Canis lupus familiaris: one gene and its partners. The protein of the gene in region 2 purifies or fractionates together with the protein of the main gene of each other region. This does not show direct contact. Links are inferred from orthologs where the notes say so. Each region holds a gene or a part of one and is shown on either strand. Other genes may lie near its edges.

Region 1 (4,429 bases), about 5.5 Mb from region 2:
GGCCCCCACCACGGCCAGCTCCCAGCCCCTACCCTGCAGCTGGAGTAGGGGAGCCCTAGCCAGATCGGGGTTCCAGCACACAGGTGTGGACAATGAGGGCAGGGACAGGGTTGCTGCGGGGCCCCTGCCGGCCCCACCAGCCCAAGACGGGAGACAGTGGGATCAGCGCTGGCGCCTCTCGTCTCTAGGCCCGAGCGGCAGGTGTAGCCACAAGGTCAGTATCTCTAGGGTTCTGGGAGCCGCCCCTGGGGGTGACAGGCCTGTCCGCCAGCGGGGATGCCGAATGCCTCTCAGAGACCTTGTGGGAAGGAACCCAGGGCACGAGGGCATGGATGGGGGACCAGCATACCTGTCCAACGTGTCCTCCGCTCTCCCAGAAAAAAAGGTGGTGACGTCCCGCCATCCTCTACTGCCGACCCCCTGGACCTGGAAGGGGACGGGAGGTGGCTGCTCAGGGTGGGTCCTCACAACGCACACATGGTCCCGCTCAAGGTCCCGGCAAAGCTTAGAGACCCGAGCAGAACAGCAGGGCTCAGGCCCGAGGCCTTCGTATGCTCCTCCCGACAGGAACGGTCCAGGGGACGCCCGGTGTGCACACAGTGGTGGCGGCGGGAGGCCCTAGTGCTCAGCTCGAGGAAACAGCATGCAAGCAAAGCCCCTGCGGCAGGCTGGGGAGGGGGGCCATGCACACCCCAACCCGCCTAGAAGACGGCGGGGCCCCGGCCCGTCAGATGGCACTCACCGGGGCAGGGCAGCGGCGGCACAACGAAGGCAGAAGGAAAAGAAGCAAGTTAGCAGACCTGACAGGGCCCCCCACCAAGCTGTGTCCACATTCCTCGGGCAGCCGGCACCGGAGCGCTCAGCTGAGCCGCCTCACCGCCCAGCGGGCACCTGGCGGGCACCCAGGCTGCGGGAGCGTGTGGGGCGCGGAGGGCCCTCCTGCTCTTGGCCAAGGCGCCCTGGAATGTGGAGACTGGCTTCCAGCTGCGCCCAAGCTCCAGGGCTTGCCCTACCTTGGACGCCAACTGAGAGACCCCACTGGACACATCATCAAAAATCTTTCCCTCTTTCACCTGCGTGGGTTAAAACACTGCCATCAGCCCAGGGGCACAGAGCCCATCGTCGCCGTCTCTGACCAAGGACAGTGCACGCCGGAAAGAGCCGTGGCGGCAGCTGTGTGCGACGTCTCCCCCGGGCAGCCCCCTCCCCACGCGTGAAGGGGCCGGGGCCACCGACTGTGCCCAGGCTGCTGTAACGCGGCATCCTCCCGGAGGGCCTCTGGGTCAGCCACAATGTCCTGCGGACAGGTCGGCACCGCCCCCGGGCCCCAGCCTGCTTGGGGGGCTCCCTGGCCGTCAGCCACCTCCGCGCTGCCCACCCAGCCCACCCTGAGGAACGGAGCGCAAGGCTGGGCCTCACAGAGCCCAGGGATGGGGGCCCAATGGACGGAGTTGGAACTGCTGGACAAAGCCCCCCAGCACCCGCTGCTCCCCTGGAATGAGGGCCTCAGGGGGTGGACAAGGGACACCGGGCGTCGGGGGCGTTACCTTCTCCTGCGCAGGTTTGAGAACGTTCTCGTTCAGGCTGTGGCCCAGCTCCGAAGCCTGTTTGATGAGAGGCAAGTCAGGTGAGCTCGGGCAGCGTGTCACCCAGGACACTGGTCGGCACAGTGGCCACGAGCCCAGCACCCAGGAGGCCCCCACCCCACTGTCATGGCAGCTGCGGCGCCCGAGGCAGCTGCACGGAAGTGGCCCGCAGGCACCGTGGCGGTGGGGCGGCCAGAGACCACTGCCCCAGCCCTCCGCGCTCTGGAGGGAAGAGGCCCAGAGTGGCAGCAAGGCCTCGGGAGTCCGTCCCACACAGCGGCCACCTGTGGGTCTTCCCATCAGAGCCACGCAGTCCCATCCCCAGGACGGCCCACGTGCTGCAGCAGGTCACATGCTACCCCTCAGCTGGAGTGCAGGCAGGTGCACCTCTGGTCACTGGATGAGGTTGAAGCCCACCTGCCCTCCAGCGGCCACCTGACCCAGAGGGAAGGGGACAGAGCCAGAGGATGAGCCAAGGTGGGTGGGGCGGCAGCGGGACGATGGGGCAGCTAAGAGGGAGAGCACCAAGTAACAGCAGCCTCGAGGCACAGGGCAAGCGCACAGCGTCAGCACCTCACCGCTGCAATGACACCCCCTCTGCGTACTTAGCAGGAAGTGATGAGGTCATGAAATGAAAATCCTGCCAAGCAGCTCCCGGCACCCCAACAGGAGCAGTGCCCCTGGCCCCGGCCCCAGCAGGTTGGTGAGAAGCTCCGAGGGCGAGCACACGTAAGCAAGGACACACACAGGCCACGGTCCAGGAACGCTCAGGGCAAAGCATGTGGGCAGCACAGAGAACGGGGGAGGCATGCACGAGAACGGACGTGGCGCCTTACCAGCTCGGGCTGCTGCTTGGTGCCCCAAAACTTTACCCAGATAGCAAGGGAGCGGGTTGGGGCGGGGAGGGGGGGAGAGGGAGAGAGTGAGAGGCAGAGTGCGCACGAGCAACAAGGAAGCACCTCCAGACACCTTAATCAGCCTCACGTTCTGGTTGCGTCACCCCAGCGGGCGTCCTCAAGAGTGCCCTCGGTGCCCACCTACTGCCACCGACCCTCGCTGCTTTCTACTCTGAGGTACAACTTCCAGAACCACGTGAGCAAGTCAGGAACCCCAAAGCGGGCGCACCACACACGGAGAGCGACTGCCCTCCCTCCTGGGACAGCCTGCAGGGCTGCTGCCTCCGGCCCGAGTCCTAACCCCCACACCGGGGGACAGGCAGTCCAGCGTCCTGGCACCACCTGGGGACTGCAGGGCCACCAACCAAGATTGGAAAAAAAAGACAAATACCAACCACCCCAAACCACCACTCACAGTGAGAAACTAACGGGGAACCAAGGTATTTCCGCAGAACCCAGACCCACCGCCCCAAGGAGGGGCTGCCCCATGGCCCACGGCCCTCGGCCCTACCAGGCTTCCCTCCCCCCCGCGGGCAGGAACCACACAGGAGCCGTCCCTCCGGCCGGGTGCCCAGGCAAGGATGGACAGGGGACCCTGGCCTTGCCCCGCAGGCCCCGACAGACGCAGCCTCCCACCCCACCTGCTAAACCCGCAGGCGCCGGGGCACAAGTCCGAGAGCACAGGCCTGAGCTGCAGAAACGTCCCCTCTCCAAGCACAGGGCCCGATGACGGCAGCCTGGGCAGCGTCCAGACGCCAACCAGACGTCACACTAGAAATTTTAGCAACACAAAACGCAGAAGCTTCCTTTGTTACCTTCTGACTTGCTTGAGATCCGAATTTGGTTGCCTGGAAAGAGACACAGGATTTCCAGCTCGCCTGTCCTGACGCCCGGCCCCAGGCTGCGCTTCCCACCCTCGACAAATGCCCGGTCCAGGCCTGTCCCGTCAGCCACGCCCCCAGGGGCCCAGCAAAGCTGCCCACTAGGCCAGGCCCGGAGGGAGGGAGGCCGTCGGGAGGGGCAAGCCCGCAGCACACAGGCCGGGGGGAGCAGGCCCATGGCAGGGGCGGCCCCCCCAGCCCCGGCATCTATGGGTGTTCCTGAGGCCCAGACCGTGCACCTACTTGGCACCCAGTGCGGCCCCGTCCCACAGCTCCCCGCAGCACCCCCACCCCCAACCACGTTCACTACAAAGAAGGAAAAGGCCTGGCCAGGCGTTCCAGCTGGAAGGCACCTGGACCTCCCGGCTGTAGCCCTCCAGAGGCCACGAGCCAAAGCTGCGGTGCCACAGGGCCTGCTGCCCCTCGAGGCTCCTCCCGGGCCGGACAGGGGAGGATGCAGGGCACATGCACCCACGGGCAGCACAGTGTCCGTGGGGCCTTCGTCCCAGCCCAGGACCAGCCCTGTGGCTCCTGCGGGTCACGCGACGGCAGGCACCGTCTGGCCCACGGTCTCCTGGCTCTCGGAACATTCCTGTCCCGGTCCTGCGTGCCACGCAGCCCCTCGACCCTGCCCTGGGCTCTCCGTCCTCCAGGGCACCTTCCTTACCAAGGCCACACCTGCCAGACCCCCCAGTACCCCCCAGGGTGATGGCCCCAAAAGGTTTCTGGCCTGTTCCTTTCTAAGCCCAAGGCCACTGTCCACCTGCGTGTCCTGACAAAATCCCCAACCCTCCCGCGCTTGGGCGGAGGAGCAGGCAGGGCTGAGAGGAAAGTCAGACGAACCCTGCTCTGTGCCCAGCAACAGGCGCTGGAGGGCTGGCGGGACCCCTCTGCCCGCAGGGCTCACGACATGCGGTGCCTTGGCATGGCACCCCTTCCAGAGCCGGCTGGCCTCTGCACACAGCTCACCCTGATGGGCGGGCGGGTGGGTGCCTGCTGCTAAAGCAGCCAACGGCGGGCCCTGAGACTGGCCGTGGCCTCGGGGACCCGAGAGCACGCCTGGGGG
Region 2 (4,429 bases):
TTTAAAGATTTTATTTATTTATTCATGATAGTCACACAGAGAGAGACAGAGAGGCAGAGACACAGGCAGAGGGAGAAGCAGGCTTCATGCTGGGAGCCTGACATGGGATTTGATCCCGGGTCTCCAGGATCGCGCCCCGGGCCAAAGGCAGGCGCCAAACCGCTGCGCCACCCAGGGATCCCTGCCTCTCATAATTAAATAAAGTATTTAAAAAATAAAGAAAGAAAGCAACCAATCATCTGCCCATTCAACAACAACAACAAAACTGCCCAAAGACTCTTCTTCAAACAAATAATTTCATTCAGATAAAGAAGCACTATCCATAGGAGGGGGGGAAAACACAAAAACCTGATTATGTTGGACTTTTAGATACAGGAAATAGAATGAAAAGATAAGGCACAGGCAGGGAGCAAACCTTTATAAAACACATGCGATAAAAGACTTGTATCCAAAATATACAAGAACTCTTTAAAACTAGAGATGACCCAAATCCCAATTGAAAATGGGCAAAAAGCTGAACAGACACCACAAAGATGATATACACATGGCAAATAAGCACATGAAAAGATGCTCATCACATTGTCAGTAGAGAACTGCAAATTAAAACAATGAGGGAACCCTGGGTGGCGCAGCGGTTTAGCGCCTGCCTTTGGCCCAGGGCGCGATCCTGGAGACCCGGGATCGAATCCCACATCAGGCTCCCGGTGCATGGAGCCTGCTTCTCCCTCTGCCTGTGTCTCTGTCTCTCTCTCTCTCTCTCTCTGTGTGTGTGACTATCATAAATAAATAAAAATTTAAATAAAATAAAATAAAAAAATAAAAATAAAACAATGAGGTGCCGGGCGGGGCACCTGGTTGGTTCAGTGGCTGAGCATCTGCCTTTGGCCTTTGGCTCAGGTCATGATCCTGCGGTCCTAGGATTGAGTCCCACATCGGACTCCCCTCAGGGAGCCTGCTTCTCCCTCTGTCTATGTCTCTGTCTCTCTCAGTGCCTCTCATGAATAAATAAAATTAAAAAACAAAAAACAAAAAACGGAATGAGGTGCCATATACACCTATGAGAAAGACTAAAATCCAAAAAATTGACAATACCAATTGCTGGTGATGAGAAACACAAAGATGACACATCTACTTTGGAAAGACAGTGTACAGTTTCTTACAAAGCTACTACACCACACGAGCTAGTTTTCAAAGCTGTTGAAAACTTATGTCCCACAAAAACACGCATGCATGTTTAAAGCAGCTTTATTCATAATCACCAATAACCGGAAACAAGCAAGATGTATTCAATAGATGAAGGGATAAACTGAACTATATCTACGCTGCAGAATATTATTCAGTTATAAAAAACGAGCTGCCATGCTCACGCCCTGAAATGATACAGATGACCCTTAAATGCATAGTTGTTCCCCCACGGGGGGAACTGCTAATCATTCTAATACCCCTACACATGTACACTGGAACTGAATAATTAAATGGTTGGTAGATACAGAATCCAGGTTTTTCAAGATTGGAATGGGAGGCTACAGATAAGCAATGAGCATATAGAACACCCAAATCTTGGTCTCTAGTATTCCAATTAAAGATACCAGGGCTCCTTGGAGACATGGCAGGTTCTAAAACTGGGATGGGATATATGCAAATCAAAGGTTTAGCAGCTTGTAGGGCCAGATGCCAAGGACATGCTGCAGTACACACCACACCCCCCCCCAGTGATGAGATAGGTCAAAAAAACTAAAAGTGTGCCTGGGTGGCTCATTTAAGTGTCTGCGTTCAGCTCAGGTCATGATCTCAGGGTCCTAGGATGGAGCCCCACATGGCACCGGGCTTCCTGCTCAGTGGGAAGCCTGCTTCTCCCTCTCCCTCAGGCCCTCCCCCTGCCTGTACGTCTAATAAATCTAAAAAAAAAAAACTAAAACAAGGACCATGTGAAAGGGATCCCAAGGACCAAAGCTGGAACAATTTGAGCAGGAAAATAAAGTAGTATTAGATTATAACTCAAAGCAAACTATCCATGAGTCCACAGTAATAAATGACTGAGTAAATAAGGGAGAACAGACAAATCTCTGATGCAGAAGAATTCTAAATGATGATGCAGACAGAGGCAGAGGTGGGACATAGCCCCCACTCCTCCTTCAGGATGGGCAGCAGTACAGAGCAATACACTTGAGAAGAGGGCAGTATGGAAAGAAAGAAAGGGTAACGTCCCAGTGGAGAAACCTAACAGGAGTGACCTCAGCCAGGTGACCTAGGCCAACACCACCAGTGACAAGCCAGGTTTATAGGAGGGACCACACTAATGGACAAAGAACAGGAGAAAAAACATCTGCACTATCTTCAGATTCTCTAAATCCAAAACAAAACAAAACAAAAGTTTATTTTAGAATAAAGAAGGCAACTATTCATATATATACATTTCCACAGAAAACAGCTGTGGAAACAAACCCGCCTGGTACCTTAGTTTACCTGGAGGTATGCTAGCAGTAGGGTATTCTGAGTCTTTCATTCAAATACCTGATCCCATTAAGCTGTCTTTCTTAAGACAAAACCCACTAGACTATGATGAAAGGCACACTGCTACATAGGACAGGAATAGAGGAAACAAAATTAGCCAGGACAATAAATGAAAACTTACAGTAGCAGTTCTCTGCTCATCAAACTTTGACAGTTTCTGAAGTTCTCTGTAGACAGCTCCAAGAGGTGCATATTCTAGAATTAGGTAAACTCTGGTGGCATCATGGAAATAACCATACAGCCTAAGAATATTTGGATGCCTGCAACAAAGGATCAATATTCTAATACTTGGTTTTGGAGAAGATACAATATGTACTACTGATGAAACCCCTCATGTAAAACTAGTGAAAACTGGTTCTGGTCACAGACCTCCCCACCACATCCACCCACCCAATTTGAGCATCTGAAACTCCAGACCTACTAGGAAAACTTAAATACAGCTGCACGTTAGTGCAGAGTATTAATGAACTTCAGGTTTGGTTAAGACTATTTCCTTCCCTTAGACCATCTTTATTCTTAGGGGTAAAAATTCAGCTAAATGTTAGTTCTCTGCACATTAGAGAAAGAGAAGCATGACATTCCCATAGCAGTATGATCCCCAAACACTAGGAGACACAACTTTAAAGCAGGGTTCAGCAACAGTGGGAAAGGTGGGCTGCCAAGAACTTCATGCAGCTGAGAACACAGCCAGCACAGCAGCCCTTCAGCCCCCACCAGCTGTTGCCAGGGAAGGATCTAAACCTGATGCAGACAGGTCTGTAAGTATTTATGACTGATTCAAACCTGAAAAAAACACGAAAGAAAGAGAGAGAGAGAGAGAGAGGAAGGAAGGAAGGAAGGGAAGGGAGGGAGGGAGGGAGGGAGGGAGGAGGGAAGGATGGGAAGGATGGGAAGGATGGGAAGGAAGGGAAGGAAGAGAAGAAAAAGACCCACTGGCTAAAGTCAACCTGCAGAGGCTGCCAGTCTGCAACCTCTGCTTAGAACTCAGAAGTATCATTCCCCTTAATTATGTGCGCACATGCATGCACAGATGCACAGGCACACACACGTGCACACACACACAAACGGGCTCATGTACATATTTCATTAACAAAGCATAAACCTCCAAGGGACTTTTCAGGACCACAGCACTCATCTAGATAAATCTTTTTAAAAATGGTGAATTAAATCATTCTTCACAATACTACAGAGCAGGCCTTGCATCATTTAACTCTTAGTAACTAAGATCTGCACCACATTCTTTTGAACGTCAATCTAGAAACTTACCTAAGGTGGGACTGTATTTCTACTTCTCTTCTCAGCTGATGTTCAACTCCTGCTTTCTCCAGTTGAGCTTTAAATAATACTTTAATAGCCAGGATAAACTTGCTTTGTTTTTCCCTTGCCAAGTAAACATTACCAAACTTTCCTTTACCCAGTGGGCGACCAATTTCAAAATCTTCCAAAGCCCATTGCCTTCTAGGAAAAAAATTTGAACATTTTAAAATGTGAAAAAAGCAAATTTTTTCTAACAATTTATTATTAAGTTGTAGATATGTCTATAAATAATTTTATATTTGAAGTTATATTCAATACGTACCTTGGCAAGAACCAAGCCAATAACTACTATATGTGTCTCCAAAGACATTAAACCCTCCACTCCTCCACCTGCCAATAACTGTATGAGTCAGTGACCAGGAACAATCTGGACTTTTAGAGCTGAAGCACTAATGCTAAGTGTCCAAAGGCAGTACTGCACTCTGAATTACAGACCTATCACAACCACCACTGAAGACCACAGGAAAGGTTAGGGAAGTAATTCGAGGGAGAAGTCTTAAGAACTTCTGTGGGCCTCTTGCAAACGAGCCAGAGCCTCTTCCTCCATCCCAGACATGCTAACTCTCTGGAGTGGAGAATCACTCTGATAAAGCAAGGG
Region 3 (4,429 bases), on a different chromosome or scaffold from region 2:
CAGAGAGAGAAAGAGAGGCAGAGACATAGGCAGAGGGAGAAGCAGGCTCCATGCACCGGGAGCCCGACGTGGGATTCGATCCCGGGTCTCCAGGATCGCGCCCTGGGCCAAAGGCAGGCGCCAAACCGCTGCGCCACCCAGGGATCCCTCTATGTAGTCTTTTATATCTCATTTCCGTTTATACACAAAAGCAGAGTGCTGAGAATAATGGGTGTCCAGGGATTGAGTGGAATATACTTATGTAATATTTTTGTTGATACAAAAAAAATCTTCACAAATTTCATGCAGTTTGAATAAAGGAAATATTTGAGTGATCTAAGCCAGCATAATCTCTCATGAAGGTAAGAAAGGCAATCACCAATTGATTGATAAGGAAATAGAAAATTAAGAAGACGGCAATAAGGAACAAACATTCCCCAGGAATCTACTGTGTCTGGCACCACACTACGGGACTTTCCAAAATGCTTTTTGGTATCTTACTACTGTATACTTCATGAACATGAATGCAGACTATAAACATACAATTGAAAGAGTTGTGATGATCTCATGATGCATGGTTCTGGAAACTCGGTCCAGGCCACAATAATGAATATTGCCTTTAAAGGGGATCCCTGGGTGGCTCAGCGGTTTAGCGCCTGCCTTCGGTCCAGGGTGTGACCCTGGAGACCCAGGATCGAGTCCCACGTCGGGCTCCCTGCATGGAGCCTGCTTCTCCCTCTGCCTGTGTCTCTGCCTCTCTCTCTGTGTCTCTCATGAATAAATAAATTCTTTAAAAAAATAAAAAATAAAAAAATAAAGAACTGGGACACTTAGTTCAAAGTTAAATGCAGAACAATAAAAAGTTTCATTTCTGTTTACCAGTCAAGCAACCAAGTGAAGGAATAAGCATTTTTTTTTAATTTAAATTGTGTTATATAAAATGCTAACTTTTTGTCGGGACATGCTACAGACTATGCATTAGATAAAATTTTCTGACAAACTTCCTATAATCTTTTTATTAATTTACACTGAGAGGATATAGCACCTTTCATCCAAGGAACTGAAGGTGCTTTACAAACATTAGCATTTAAAAAACAATTACATTTAAAAATCTGGATTCGTGCTGTTAAATCTCTTCAACTCCAGGTACACAATTTTCTGGAGGCTGATGGAAAGCAATTCTATTTCTGACAACGAAAGAGGCTCAGAAAGAGTTTGGATTTGCTTTCGCAATACAGGCATTTTCAAAACCTGGTGCTAGGCTTACAAAGCAAACACACACAAATCTTAATGCAAAGAATAGTATTTCAAACCTTATTTCAAAAGCAAAACCCAGGGTTTAAGACGTCACAATCTTCCAACAGTTCTGGTCATCCAGATGTTAGGAGCTGATGCAGATTGCATATTAGATGTGCTCTTGATGCAGACTTTTTAGGATCACACCCAAATGAACACATTTAAAGTAGTGAGATGTTTCAGGAAAAAGCATTAACCTATATATAAAAAGCTAGCCAAGTGCATATCAGGAAAAGGGGAAAGGGAGTAATTGGCAATTAAAAGTAGACAGTTCTCACTAGAGCCTAGGACACTTTATTAGAAACCAAGTATATCATCAGCAAATAAAAATAGTTATTACCCCCATTAATACAACATAAAGGATTTTACATTCAGCCTAGATACAGGGAGTAACAGATCCTCCTGCCTACAAATCTATGACTGGCAAGTATCTTCCACTACATGATTACTCTATATCGTACATAGCCCTTATTTATTAAATCCAAATATTCCTTTTAGGCTTACAAAGTCCAATACATTCACTCTCTCTTCCCTTTACATGTCTAATCGTAAAAACTTCTTTTTTTCATGCAAAAAAGCCGTTATTCAGCTGAAGAGAAAAAAAATCAGACAAAATAGAGATGGCAATTAAGGAATGGACAAAATATTATTGGCACATGCCCAACTAGTGACAAACAAATGCAGTACACCATGACTTAAAAATAAAGGTCACATTACAGGGATAACTAAAACAACTACATCAATCTAAGCTAAGGAGTGTCAAATGGGAAGGGAGGGCTGAGGTTACCGATTTTATTGGTACAACTTAGAAGCAGAGGAGAGCAAGCACTTAAATACAATTTATGGTAACAGAAAAAAACACTGCAGAGAGCTGTTCAAAGACTACACCAAGTTGTCTGCATCATTAATTTCCAGTGTTTCACAATTAGTAAAATACATAGCTACATATCCCTGTAAGATAAAAATACCTTTCCCCCTGAATTACACTGGGGTCAGGGCAGTAACACAAAGCTACTGACCCAACAGTTCAAGTGTGTGCAGCAAATGTCTTAGCCACTTCTTTCATATAGCTATACAATTAAAAACTAAACAAGGAGCTAGGTGGTTATGGCAAAAAAAGAAAATAAAAATAAAAATATTATTGTGCTCATTTAATAAAAGAAAAACCCTGATGAAAAATTATGTGCCAAGAAGCTTAGATTATAAAGATTTTTATTGCATTTTTAGGTAACCTGGAAGTTCTTATCCTGAAGGGGAAAAGTTGGTTTTCAAAACTACCTGAACAGATACTAAAGTGCTTTATTAATTGGCTGGCTTCACAAAGATTTCCTGGAATGACAAAAATTAATTATAGTAGTAAAGGGATACCAACTATTTCACAAAATAGTAAATTCCAACATCATTTATGACCACAGTCATAAGAGACACTGGAACACTTGTCCTTATTAAGTGGACAGTTGCATATAAAGAACTGATCATCACACCCTTTGGATATTTAAATTACTTACACAAAGCCGAAACATGGTACCACAGACCTTTACAAAAAAGGACAATTTGTTTCTTTCTACACTTTTTAAAATTTGCTTCAAATTACAGTTCACAAAATACAAGAGTCCTGACTTTTCAACCTTTCCAGTTGCAGTTAAAAATTGAACACTTTCTAAAAGTTAAGGTCAAGTGTTACATCAAGAGGAGAATGATTCCTACTGAAAAGTACACAGATTTTACTTAATGATATGCATGATAGATTGTAAACTGCATCAATCACATTTTACTCAACTAGTATCAAATGAACACATCAGCATTACAAGTATTAAATGTTTTTCTATTACTATAGAGAATATAAACCAAAACATTAATATGGCAGTTATGTTCTTTAGGCACAGTTTAGTAATTTTTTTTTTTTTTAATAAATAGTATTGAATTTCAGTTGAAGTTTTAAACTCAATAACCAAAGGGTCAAAAACTCTGACTGGGGGGGAGGAGGGGAGAATAACTTTAAACTAACAATGTAAGCTGTTTAAAATTTCTAATACTTTAACCTATCTGGGTTTAAGATTACTTTATTAAAAAATACAAGGAATCTGAAAAAAGATCGATACAATTATCTTACTGTACAAAGTCATAAGCTGTAGCAGTTTTAACTAAAATTTAAAAACACAACAAGGAGGGCAGCCCTTTAGACCAATTTATTTTATATCCACTTAAAATATCATCCAACAAAGGACAATGAAGTTTACAGCTGGGACAGGTATACATAACTCGAGGCATTTGCAGTCCATCGTGCCCACTGAATAACAACTTTGCTGCTGAAATTTCTTAAAACTTACCAAACTAAAACAAAAGGCTGAATGATACAAAAGGAGGAGCATTTCGGTGTAGTCTGTTCTGTCAATTGGCTTTTTAAAAAGAGGAGACACATCCTGTTTCCCCCAGACCAGTAAATAAGCAAGAGCTACATGCAGCAGTGTGAGTATTAAGACATTTCTCAAGTCTTCTCAAATGAGTCCAAAGTGGGGATGGGATAGGGGAGAAAATTGATAGGAAAACATTGCTATAGACACCATAACAAACAATAAATTTAGATAATTTAAAATTAAAAAAAAGGCAAGAGGCAGCATTTCAGCAGCAAAGTGCTCAATAAAAAGTATATTGTAGAGGGTAATACACGAAAGTTGGGGTATGAAGAAGGAAGAAAAATGGGTCAGCAGGATGGGCGAAGGCCTCAAAGAAAATACGGCGTCGTCGTTCTGGGAGGAATAACACGTTCTGAATCTGGAACTGCCCGGAATAACTTTGGTTCTCTTGTATTTACATCTTTGAAGACCATGATCGAAGCGATATTTCCACAACGATAGCAGTAATTAGGAGCAGACCATACTGTTACCAGCTTCTCATCAAACATAAATTTATAGCCTTCGTGCACTAGTTGGTGTGCTCTGCAGATGAGTTTTAAGTTGTTGATATGAACAAACTGCAAGTCAGAAAGGTTTTGTTAAATATCTAGCACATAAAAAGAATCATGTTATATTTATATATAAAATAAGTAAGAAAATAATATTTAAATACAGTCTGGGGCTCCTGGGTAGCTCAGGAGCACCCAACTCTTGATTTTGGCTCAGGTCATGATCTTAAGGTTGTGAGATCGAGCCCC

What was found. Proteins that work in one complex are often made in the same cells at the same time.
Region 1: the proteins of AURKA (region 2) and ARFGAP1 purify together in Homo sapiens (affinity purification with mass spectrometry; 3 studies listed by BioGRID and IntAct, counting the BioPlex papers as one, with this or other methods). This does not show direct contact. The link is inferred for Canis lupus familiaris from reciprocal best matches to the Homo sapiens genes AURKA and ARFGAP1.
Region 3: the proteins of AURKA (region 2) and PPP6C purify together in Homo sapiens (affinity purification with mass spectrometry; 4 studies listed by BioGRID and IntAct, with this or other methods). This does not show direct contact. The link is inferred for Canis lupus familiaris from reciprocal best matches to the Homo sapiens genes AURKA and PPP6C.

The regions. Positions count from the first base shown.
Region 1 is NC_049245.1:47,839,643-47,844,071, reverse strand, and holds part of ARFGAP1 (ADP-ribosylation factor GTPase-activating protein 1), read right to left. Parts: intron 3,331-4,429; coding exon 3,298-3,330; intron 2,453-3,297; coding exon 2,423-2,452; intron 1,605-2,422; coding exon 1,548-1,604; intron 1,074-1,547; coding exon 1,014-1,073; intron 427-1,013; coding exon 350-426; intron 1-349. UniProt on the Homo sapiens protein: GTPase-activating protein (GAP) for the ADP ribosylation factor 1 (ARF1). Involved in membrane trafficking and /or vesicle transport.
Region 2 is NC_049245.1:42,338,833-42,343,261, forward strand, and holds part of AURKA (aurora kinase A), read right to left. Parts: intron 3,973-4,429; coding exon 3,781-3,972; intron 2,775-3,780; coding exon 2,636-2,774; intron 1-2,635. UniProt on the Homo sapiens protein: Mitotic serine/threonine kinase that contributes to the regulation of cell cycle progression.
Region 3 is NC_049230.1:58,004,693-58,009,121, reverse strand, and holds the end of PPP6C (serine/threonine-protein phosphatase 6 catalytic subunit), read right to left. Parts: intron 4,250-4,429; coding exon 4,001-4,249; 3' UTR 981-4,000; downstream 1-980.